Linked DNA regions of Arabidopsis thaliana. The protein of the gene in region 2 interacts with the protein of the main gene of each other region in a biochemical or structural test. Each region holds a gene or a part of one and is shown on either strand. Other genes may lie near its edges.

Evidence for each region. Proteins that work in one complex are often made in the same cells at the same time.
Region 1: the proteins of FD (region 2) and FT form a complex in vitro, tested with the Arabidopsis thaliana proteins (one study listed by BioGRID).

What each region holds. Positions count from the first base shown.
Region 1 is NC_003070.9:24,329,137-24,334,910, reverse strand, and holds FT (PEBP (phosphatidylethanolamine-binding protein) family protein), read right to left. Parts: upstream 3,539-5,774; 5' UTR 3,534-3,538; coding exon 3,201-3,533; intron 2,386-3,200; coding exon 2,324-2,385; intron 1,611-2,323; coding exon 1,570-1,610; intron 1,446-1,569; coding exon 1,222-1,445; 3' UTR 912-1,221; downstream 1-911. UniProt on the Arabidopsis thaliana protein: Component of the mobile flower-promoting signal (floral stimulus or florigen). Promotes the transition from vegetative growth to flowering. Required for 'SEPALLATA3' (SEP3) and 'FRUITFULL' (FUL) accumulation in mature rosette leaves.
Region 2 is NC_003075.7:17,002,724-17,007,518, forward strand, and holds FD (Basic-leucine zipper (bZIP) transcription factor family protein), read left to right. Parts: upstream 1-1,798; 5' UTR 1,799-2,022; coding exon 2,023-2,730; coding exon of another isoform or gene 2,731-2,757; exon of another isoform or gene 2,758-2,865; coding exon 2,866-2,943; intron 2,944-3,157; coding exon 3,158-3,229; 3' UTR 3,230-3,585; downstream 3,586-4,795. Other genes in the region: AT4G35905 (Trm112p-like protein), read right to left, coding at 4,561-4,638. UniProt on the Arabidopsis thaliana protein: Transcription factor required for the transition to flowering promoted by FT.

The DNA of each region.
Region 1 (5,774 bases), on a different chromosome or scaffold from region 2:
TCTTTCATTCTATATCAAATATAGACCTTCCTCTGAGTGGATATGTGGAAGTACGCAAAAAATATATCGGTTGAATGCACAGAACCTTAAAATGAAATGGTTCATAGTCAGAGTTATCTTCCAACTGTTAATAAATTTTCACGTGTATCAATAATTTCTTGTATCATATATAATTATGTCACAATTTACTAATCAATAAAAAATGTTAATAAAAGAAAATCAAAGGGGTTCGAGATCGTTTAAATGTCATCGTTGATCAGCTTGGAGGAGAGCGTTTTCATCGAACGATGGCTATCAATGTTCAAGAAAGCATTAGACAGTAAGACCATCTACGTTCATAAAGAGTTTATGGATATTTAAAGTTTAACTACAGAAAGACACTTCCTTTTTTTGGATGTCTAAAGTGTTTTATTTTTAGTTTTAAACTCAAATTTAATTTTAAAATAGAAAATACATTAAATCGAAACTTATACTATTTTAGGCGTTGAATCAGTGATCTAACCATAACTTGACAGCATAACGTCTAGACGGAGCCAATACAACCGCCTAAACCGCTTTTAAATAAAACATAAATGCTTAAGTTGTTCCTCGTATTTATCCCAAATTAAAAAAAAAACGTTTTTCTATCATGGGAACAAGATCTAACGTCGAAGTCCATTAGTAATTAATCTTCAGAATGTATAAATACTTCATATGTTTACCTTTCAAGGATTTAATAATTAAGGTTTGATCCTAGGATTCGATCTTACACATGTGTTTCTTCATACGTGAGCCCATAAACTTAAAACCAAAATATTGCTCTACTTTTCTAGCTTATGTATTGAATGCAAACTCTTTAGTTTGATATATAATGATCGACTTGGATATTATCAGTACTTTAGTAGCAACACAAAAAAGTGTATTATGGAACCCAAAAGTAAAACAGCAGATTCTTCCCACTGCCTGATTTTTGCATCGAAAAGAAATGAATACACGTAAAGTATAAATATAACACTTCATTTCATGTAGATTAATATAATTATCGCATCACACACTATATAAGTAAAACACTCTCATTTTCCTCCCCCTCTCATTTTTATTACACACTTATATATTGAACTACTATAGGCATCATCACCGTTCGTTACTCGTATCATAAAATGGTTATTAAATTAAAATACTATAGATGCATAAATCTCATCAGAGTATGCAATATCAATTGGTTATAAAGGAAGAAGCCATCTAAAGTCTTCTTCCTCCGCAGCCACTCTCCCTCTGACAATTGTAGAAAACTGCGGCCACGGGAAGGCCGAGATTGTAGATCTCAGCAAACTCGCGAGTGTTGAAGTTCTGGCGCCACCCTGGTGCATACACTGTTTGCCTGCCAAGCTGTCGAAACAATATAAACACGACACGATGAATTCCTGCAGTGGGACTTGGATTTTCGTAACACACAATCTCATTGCCTGAAAAATAAAAAGTTCATCAAAACATGTGAATTTTCTAGCTAGTAACTAATTAATTAGGCTATTTCATATACCTTTCTATATTTCTAACACCTAGCGATCTAATATATAGAATAAAACTCACCAAAGGTTGTTCCAGTTGTAGCAGGGATATCAGTCACCAACCTGTAATGAGAGATAGCCATACACATGTTTAAGCTATGGCACCACAACATAATTGAAATGCTACTTCTTTTTTTGACAGAATTGAAATGCTACTTAAACTTTATTTTCTTACAAAAAAATAATAGCAACGTAACTAATTCCTAGATTACTAGTGCAAGTGACTAGCAAAACATGCAATAACATTCAAGTGCATGAATATATAAATAAAAATAAAAAGTGATATAACAGGAAACCTAGTCCTGCTCACTTCAAGGAACAATGATGATGTCATCAGGCTATTTTAAGCTCAATGATATTCCCGTACAAAGACCACTTTAAAGTGAAAAAAACAAATCTTAGTTCAAGTCACGTCCTATACATTCTATAGAATCTATGTGCGATCAGTAAAATACACAGACATACATAATACATATTTACATTACACATAGTAAAGTTTTTGAACAAAATATGTCAATTTAGCTTGGGTGTGGGCTTTTTTGGGAGACAAATTGATGCATCGCACTCTCGAAGTTGATTTTATATGTCTCCTTCTATTAAATGTAAAATGTTTGAGTCTTAAGTTATAAGTGATCTACTCAATTTCAAAGTATCCAAAATACATGTCCAGTTTTACATGTGTAGTTGAGTGTCTATATATATAATTCGAGCAACATGTTTGAGCTATGCTATAACTTAAAAGTGAATTAATTAAAGAGTTGAGTTAGTGCACAAACCAATGGAGATATTCTCGGAGGTGAGGGTTGCTAGGACTTGGAACATCTGGATCCACCATAACCTTCATTAAACAAATAAGACGAAGAATTATAAGAAGATAAGATTATCATTTTCAAAGAAATCAAGAAAGCAAAAGGTCTTTTTTTCTTTTTCTTTTTTGAAGTTTGGAAAATGAGATAACACAAGAAAGAAGAAGAAAACTATGAATAGAAAAAAGGTAGTAGCTACATGTCTATATATAGCAGAGAGTATCTTAAAGGCTGGCTTGAATATCAGAATATCCTTATTCAAACAGTTTTCAAATATTCCACAACAGAGATTCATCAATATATATATTTGTTTTAATGAACATCAATTTTCTATATCTTTTTGCAGATATTTTAATTAGCAAAAAGGATATTTCAAAAATGCCATTTTCAAAGTATAGTAAAAAATTATACTTAAAAAAAAACAAAAAAAAACAAATGCAAATTAAATTATTAGGTAGGAGGAACAAAGAAAAATCCCAAGATTCTTATCCTAAATAATAATCACTTATGCAAGAAGTTGGTGGAAAAAATTTGGGATAGATCATAAATTTATCTCTATTTAATTTAGGATAGGAAGAAATATTTTATGGGTCCATCTTCATGAAAAAAGAAATGAAATATAAATTAGTTTTTGATTTGGGTATCATAAAGTAAAACCAAATAAATCATAAAAAAACAGAGAAAAGGAAAGCGTGGGGCATTTTTAACCAAGGTCTCTGCATGCCCAAGAAATATTTTCAGTATACCCCAAAAAAGGAAAATAATTTCTATTTTAAAAAAGAAGGTGTAAGAAGCACTGAAGAAACTAAAGAAGAAAAGAGACAAAAGGGAGTTCAAGTGAAAGAACCAAAGTATAGAAGTTCCTGAGGTCTTCTCCACCAATCTCAACTCTTGGCTTGTTTTGAACCTGAGAAGGCCTTAGATCCAAGCCATTAGTCACCTCTCTTTGGCCATAAGTAACCTTTAGAGTGATTGATCTATTAAACGGATCAAGAACGTCTCCAACAACTCTGCTTACTATAAGAGGGTCTCTTATATTTATAGACATCTTTGATCTTGAACAAACAGGTGGTTTCTCTGTGTTGATTGTTTCTGTTTTACTTGTTTTTGTTTCTGCTTCTTTAATTTGTATCATAGGCATGAACCCTCTACACATATTTATACTGTTTCGGATTTGCATTAACTCGGGTCGGTGAAATCATAACCACAATCTTTTTCTTGTCTATTGATGTACTAGAATCTAAAACTGATTCTACGTACATCACACATTGTCGTCTTATTTCATATTTTTCTTTCTTTTTATTTCTGTTTGTGGTATTCCAAACCCACCACACTAATACACTGGAAATATTCCAAATTATATCTCCCACTTGGTAGCCACTAATTTTTGATTTATTTCCTTTAACAAGATACCTCTCTCGACTAAATATTATTTACTTTTATACAAAGATATTAATTATGATAATGAGTAATCAGTAGTTTCATATATATTTAGTTTTGCCATATATTAACATAATTTATCATAACAAAGTAAGATTATTAATAAAAATAAGAAAAAAGTAGGGTACCGCCAAGTTTATAGAGAAAAAAAAATTACAGTATCACTTGTTATGTTTTTAAAACTATTATTTAGAGATATAAAGAAAAAAAAAATTCTTAAAAAATTCGAAAGCGAAAACGTTCTAAAAGAAAAAAACTAAAAAAAAAGTTGAGATAGAAATCATAGAAGAAATGATATATTTTATAAAACAGCCTTTTCTTGTAGTTATACCAGGTAGAACAAGGGATCCTTCAGGTTAGATAGAACCAGGACATTTGAGAATAGTCACCTATTTTTCTAGCCGCTTGTGTTATATGGTCGACAAACAAATCTCAAACATGTAGAATGAAGGCAGTTATTTTCATCGTCCATACCTACCAATGTCCGAACTCAAATACGCAAAATTATCTCAAAATGAATTAAGTACAAGATATCTGCAATTAAATAATATAAACCAAATCAATTGTTTTATTTCTCTTCTTTTTTTATAAACAAGCGGCCATATTATGGAAAAGTGAGTTTTATAATTGAGATAGTATCTAGTGTCTTGAAACAATTATATCATACGGTAATCTATCTATACATATAATATTAACTATTAAAAATCTAAAGCAAAATAATGATTACTTTTTAAAATTAGACATTAGTTTGGTTGTAAAAATACTAACCATCCATTTGCACGACCAGGATAATTGGTATATATACTTATGCGTCTATAAATAGGTATGGATTTGCTAATTTGAGAGATTTTCTTTTTGACATTGCATCAACATATATAGATGTAACTACCATTACCACTAATTAGAGCATTTCTTAAGTTCAAAGATGAAACTTATAACCATAGCCTAACAACTGTAGGAATTATTCTTTCTTTTTCTTTTAATTGGTAATTAAATAATTAGCGATAGGTTCTACTGTCCAAACTGGAAAATAAAGGAATTATTCAGTGATGTAGTTTTTTGTAACATCTCAGTAATGTATTCATATTGAACTTTATCTTATCATTTCAGACTTCAGCCACTGTTCTACACGTCCATAGGTTAACTTCATCTTAGGTTGAAATCCAAAATATTTGGTAACCTTCATAGAAATTTCAGATTTGTTTACTAAAAAAGACGTCTACGATCGACCATTGATAATCGAAATCGCAATTAAAAAAAACTCGAAATCTGCTATATGCACTTTTTAACGACTAGCATTTATTTTCTACTAATTTTAGTTACACACAAAAAAATGTATGCATTTTTAAATATTGGACAGGAGAGCTCAGTACTATAAGAATTGTTAGTAAATTTTGTCATTCAATCATGTTAGTGTTCATACGAAACAAAAGATGTGATGTAGAAAAAAATAGGTCGCAGTCGCAGACAAGATTAATTGTTCGCTAAAATGAGATAGATGGATTGTCCGCCACTTGTGTATATCATTTTTCATTTGTTCAGAAAAACAAAAGTGTATCTTTTTGTTTTTTGATTTAATCCGATATATATTCATTTTGTATTTCTTCTTAAAGAGACTTACGTTTGCTTTAAGATAAGTAGTTTGCTTTCTATTTTCAGCAACTTTTTAAGATTTAACTAATTTATTTCTATTATAAAATTTAACGTATCTGCCACTTGTCTTTTACTTATGAATAAAACGTTTATAGTATATCGTAAGATGATATAGTAAGCATTGACATGTAAAGAGAAAATAGAAAAATATATTTTCTTTATCTTTCGAAGATGCATTGTTTAAGAAAATCAGGTAGAACCTTTTAGAGTTTAGAGAACATATTTCAATATCATTGTAACATATTAAGTTGACTCTATATCTATGAAGCCGTGATGTTCCTAAACACTACATGTTTAAAATTATTTTCTTCAAATATGTTTTGTCTTT
Region 2 (4,795 bases):
CACAATTTTATGATACAATGGACATTTGAATTCACTCGTTACAGACTATACCCCAACTTTATTTTGAGTTTATTTTGCAAAAATGATTTGAGACTGGGAAAATTTGTTTTATTTTCGTCAATGAATATGCGTAGTGACGTCGATACTAACAAAAGTACTACTCTTTACATTCGAATTTTTGGTGGTTGCGAAACGACAACAAAGATCTATGAAATTTGTGTTTCACATTAAAAACTCAAAATGTATTTTGAAACCCAATGTTTGGAAACATGTAAACAAATTAAAGTCTTTGTACTTTTCACCAACAAATGGAAAATATATATCTTCTAACAAATATGAGTATTTGAGGAGCTTGCATTTTCGATAAACAGCTCCTAATGTAGTACTCTTTGCATGTTCAAAAGATGGGACGTTTCCTTGAGGGCTGATTTCAACATTCAGAGAAAAAAAATTATATACATGTACGGAAATGAATAGTTAATCTTGTTGAATAGAATAAGAGAAGAGGAAAGAAAAACAAATATCGTATGTTATTATAGTTTATATATAATCAACTTGCAATAAAGGAAAAATTTGAAAAGCGTGACTAGATATGCACTTGGAGACTGACTTACATAGTAGATACGATAATCGAATATCTAGATATCTGGATGGTACTCATATTATTTGTTTATTACGTATGATCAAAGATTTATTAATATGTATCATCTTCTACTTGGCTTAATTATTAACTAGTTTAGTATTCGTCTCTAATCTTCAAAACAATCAACATAAATATCTAAACTATATTGGTCATATAAAATCTAATACTTTACTATCCACTTGTAATGTTTGTTTTGTTCAGAGTTGGAGACCCACATAAATTGATTTCCCTATCCGTATTGTAAAACAGACTATTGACACTTTGATCAAATCTCGTTGGATGACATGAACACCAATGATTTGAAGTGGGGAACAATTCAATAGTTAACAATATTTTTGTTATTTAAATGCATTTCAACTATACGGTCGATATTATTTGAAATGTTTGCAACTACATATTTAAGAAAACGTTAAGTGCAAATGACCCGTTCTTAAACACTCCGAATCTCATATAAAATAAAGTTTTTTTGTACTAATCAAACATATAATTTTCAGACTTTTAGTTTTGATAGAAACAAATTACATATACGAACACCCAAGTACTACTTTTTATATTCGATAATATTATTCTATCTTCGTTTAAAATATATTAACCACATCAAGAAAAGAGGAATGAAATATTCTAACGGAATTAATGTTTGCTGCCAAAAACAAAAAAAAAACAGAAGAAATTTTTACATTTGAGTTTATTGGTATAGTAGTTAGGATTTTGTGTTTTATTATATATTTAAACGAATTTATTTAATTATTTCTAATACAGAAAGATGTATATATTCTTATCTACTTTCATTTTGTTTTTAATGTTTTATTTCGTCAATACCCTTAGGGGAAAAAAGTGTATTTTGGCAAATTTTCCTTAAATCTAAGAGCAAGAACAAAAATTAAAGTCACACATGAAAGTTGAAAGTGATCCAAAGGGATTTGATATTAGAAAATAGAAAGTGAGATAAAACCAAAAATAATTTTATATATTTGCCTGGCTTTTTACAAGCATCTCACCCCCACTCACTCTTTACATTTAAGGATGATGAAAAATACTTCACTTTTGAAATAATCAAACACCATTTTTAATCTTTATAATAACTCTGACGTTGAAGACATCAACAAACACCTTTAATTACATATAATAGTTTATGGAATTTCTCTTCTTCTTCTTGAAATATATTATTTAATTGGAAATAGTTCAATCCCTCTGTCTCTTCTTCTGGAGTCTTGGACCCAACCCCATCATTCCAGAAATGACCGGCTAAAGTCAAGAACCTCTCTCTGAGCTCTCACCACTTTCTCTCTCTACTCCCTCTCTGCGTGTAGGATACTACTAGACAATTGACAACCAAAGACTAAAGCTGTGTTGTTGGTTCACTTCTGTTCTCTTTTCCAATGTTGTCATCAGCTAAGCATCAGAGAAACCATAGACTCTCTGCTACAAACAAGAACCAGACTCTCACCAAAGTTTCTTCCATTTCATCCTCATCACCATCGTCTTCTTCTTCATCATCATCAACCTCATCATCATCTCCTTTACCTTCTCAAGACTCTCAAGCCCAGAAGAGATCTCTTGTCACCATGGAAGAAGTTTGGAATGACATCAACCTTGCTTCCATCCACCACCTAAACCGACACAGCCCTCATCCACAACACAACCACGAGCCAAGGTTCAGGGGCCAAAACCACCACAACCAAAACCCTAACTCAATCTTCCAAGATTTTCTCAAAGGATCTTTGAACCAGGAACCAGCACCCACAAGCCAGACCACGGGTTCTGCGCCTAATGGCGATTCCACCACGGTCACTGTTCTTTACAGCTCTCCTTTTCCACCTCCTGCAACTGTTCTGAGCTTGAATTCCGGCGCTGGCTTCGAGTTTCTCGATAACCAAGATCCTCTTGTTACCTCAAACTCTAATCTTCATACCCACCATCACCTCTCAAACGCTCATGCCTTCAACACCTCTTTCGAGGCTCTGGTTCCATCCAGTTCTTTTGGTAAGAAAAGAGGCCAAGATTCCAATGAAGGTTCAGGGAATAGAAGACATAAGCGTATGATCAAGAACAGAGAATCTGCAGCTCGTTCCCGCGCTAGGAAACAGGAATGTGCCTCTCCTCTTCCCTCCTAATCTTCTTCTACTCATGTGTATCAAAAAGGGAAGAAAAGAAATGTGGTTTTGCCATCAAATTGCTTTTGATCTAAAAAAAGGTCTCTTGGTTTTGATTCTCATTTGCAGGCTTATACAAACGAGTTAGAACTTGAAGTTGCTCACTTGCAGGCAGAAAATGCAAGACTCAAGAGACAACAAGATCAGGTAAACAAGCAGAGCCAAGTTCTTAATGTTTTACCCTTTTGTAGCACTCATGTCATTAGATCAATTCCTTGTAGTTTAACCAACTTATAAAAAGAGACAGACAGACAGCCTCTGGAGTATATTTGTTTTACACACTTTTTTGTCCAATGACATTTTGGGTGGTTAGATTCTGATACTTCAGTTGTGTGTTTATTATGTGTGTGTGTGTGTGCAGTTAAAAATGGCTGCAGCAATTCAGCAACCCAAAAAGAACACACTTCAACGGTCTTCCACAGCTCCATTTTGAGAAATCTACAAGTCCTTGTTTCTCTTTTGGGGATTGAGATTGTCTCATGAAGAAGTGAAAAAATGGCAAAAGTTTGTACCCTTTTTTATTAGCTATAAGTATAACTAAGCCTAAAATTGTAGAACTAAGATATTGTAGGGGAAAAAAGAAGATGTAAAACAAAAGACCCGGAAAGAGAAAAGGATCTTTCAATTTCCTAAGGCACAGGAACACCTGTCCTGGGTCCTCTCTTAATGTTCTGTCGTTTTCCTATGCAAACCCTTTTTTCACTTCTGTACTAACTTCTACTTGTATTCTTGTTGTAGTAATGTTCTACTTCCTCTTCTAATACTAGTAAGAAAAAAAACCTTATGTTTTACTGTTTAACCAATTTGGTTCTTAAAAGAAGCAAAGGATCAAATGACCAATAGACAAAACAGTGCTCCACTTAAATGATGACAATACCAGAGAAAAGTGAGAAGGGGACCTATCACTGAACATTTAATTTTCTCCCTATCACATTATCACATAAATATCCAATCCTTTGGCTGTCTACCATACAAGCCAACAACTTGCAATATGATTTTGAAACCTCCAAGCCAATGGGAATTAAGTTCACCACTTTTCGGGTTGGTCAAGAGAGAACATGATAAGTTTCTTATTCAGCATGGTCACTCCCCACGTTTTATTTATATTCATAGTACATAGTATTGTAGCTTTTGCTCTAACTGGTCACCATCAAAAACACTAGGTGTGTTTGTATTCATTTGGTTTATCAAGAGAATAGTTTTTATCTTCTTTTGGCCCAATTTCATTTACCTGACAGTGATAAGTCTTGTTGATCCACTTTTGGTTGTTGATATATTGCTGTGTATTCTTTTAAGCAACCAAAAGTGGACATCAAGAGCTAATATGGTGTAAATATAGTGGACATTAAGATAAAGAAGAATAGTTACCAAAAGTGGGACTATGACTAGAATCTATCCTCACATTATATGGTTACACTTAGAGCCCCTCAAATAGGCATCCAATACTTTAAATCATGCTTCTACTTTCATTCCAGTCAATAAGAATCCTAGACTTCAAGAAACTTTAAACGAAAAAGTTGGTTTATTCACCTGAAACTACACACCTATAATGTTTTTCAATTGGTTACATCAATGTTTCCCATCAAACATTCATACTTAAAAATGCTACCAGAACTTGGCCACAAGCCTAAAAGAGAGTTTAGAAGAGATGATCAGGTAACTAGTACAGAGGACAGAACGAACCATTGATAAGTTGCTGCAGATACAAGCTGATACCTTCACTCTGACCATTTTATTTCTTTTTGGGTGCAAAAGCAAAAGTCATTAAGCTTTTGATGCATCACCTTCCTCCTCAAGTATTTTTCCATCCTTTGGAACCAAGCATGGAATCCCATCTTTGATCTAGCGTGTTAAGAGAAGCAAAATCAAGTCTTAAACATTGAATCGTGAACATGAAGTGAAATCTAAAAAGAACAAGAAGAATATCATTAAGAAGAAAACAGCCGACCAATCACTTTAGCATATGATTATTCCATCAGTGAATCCCAAATCAACACCA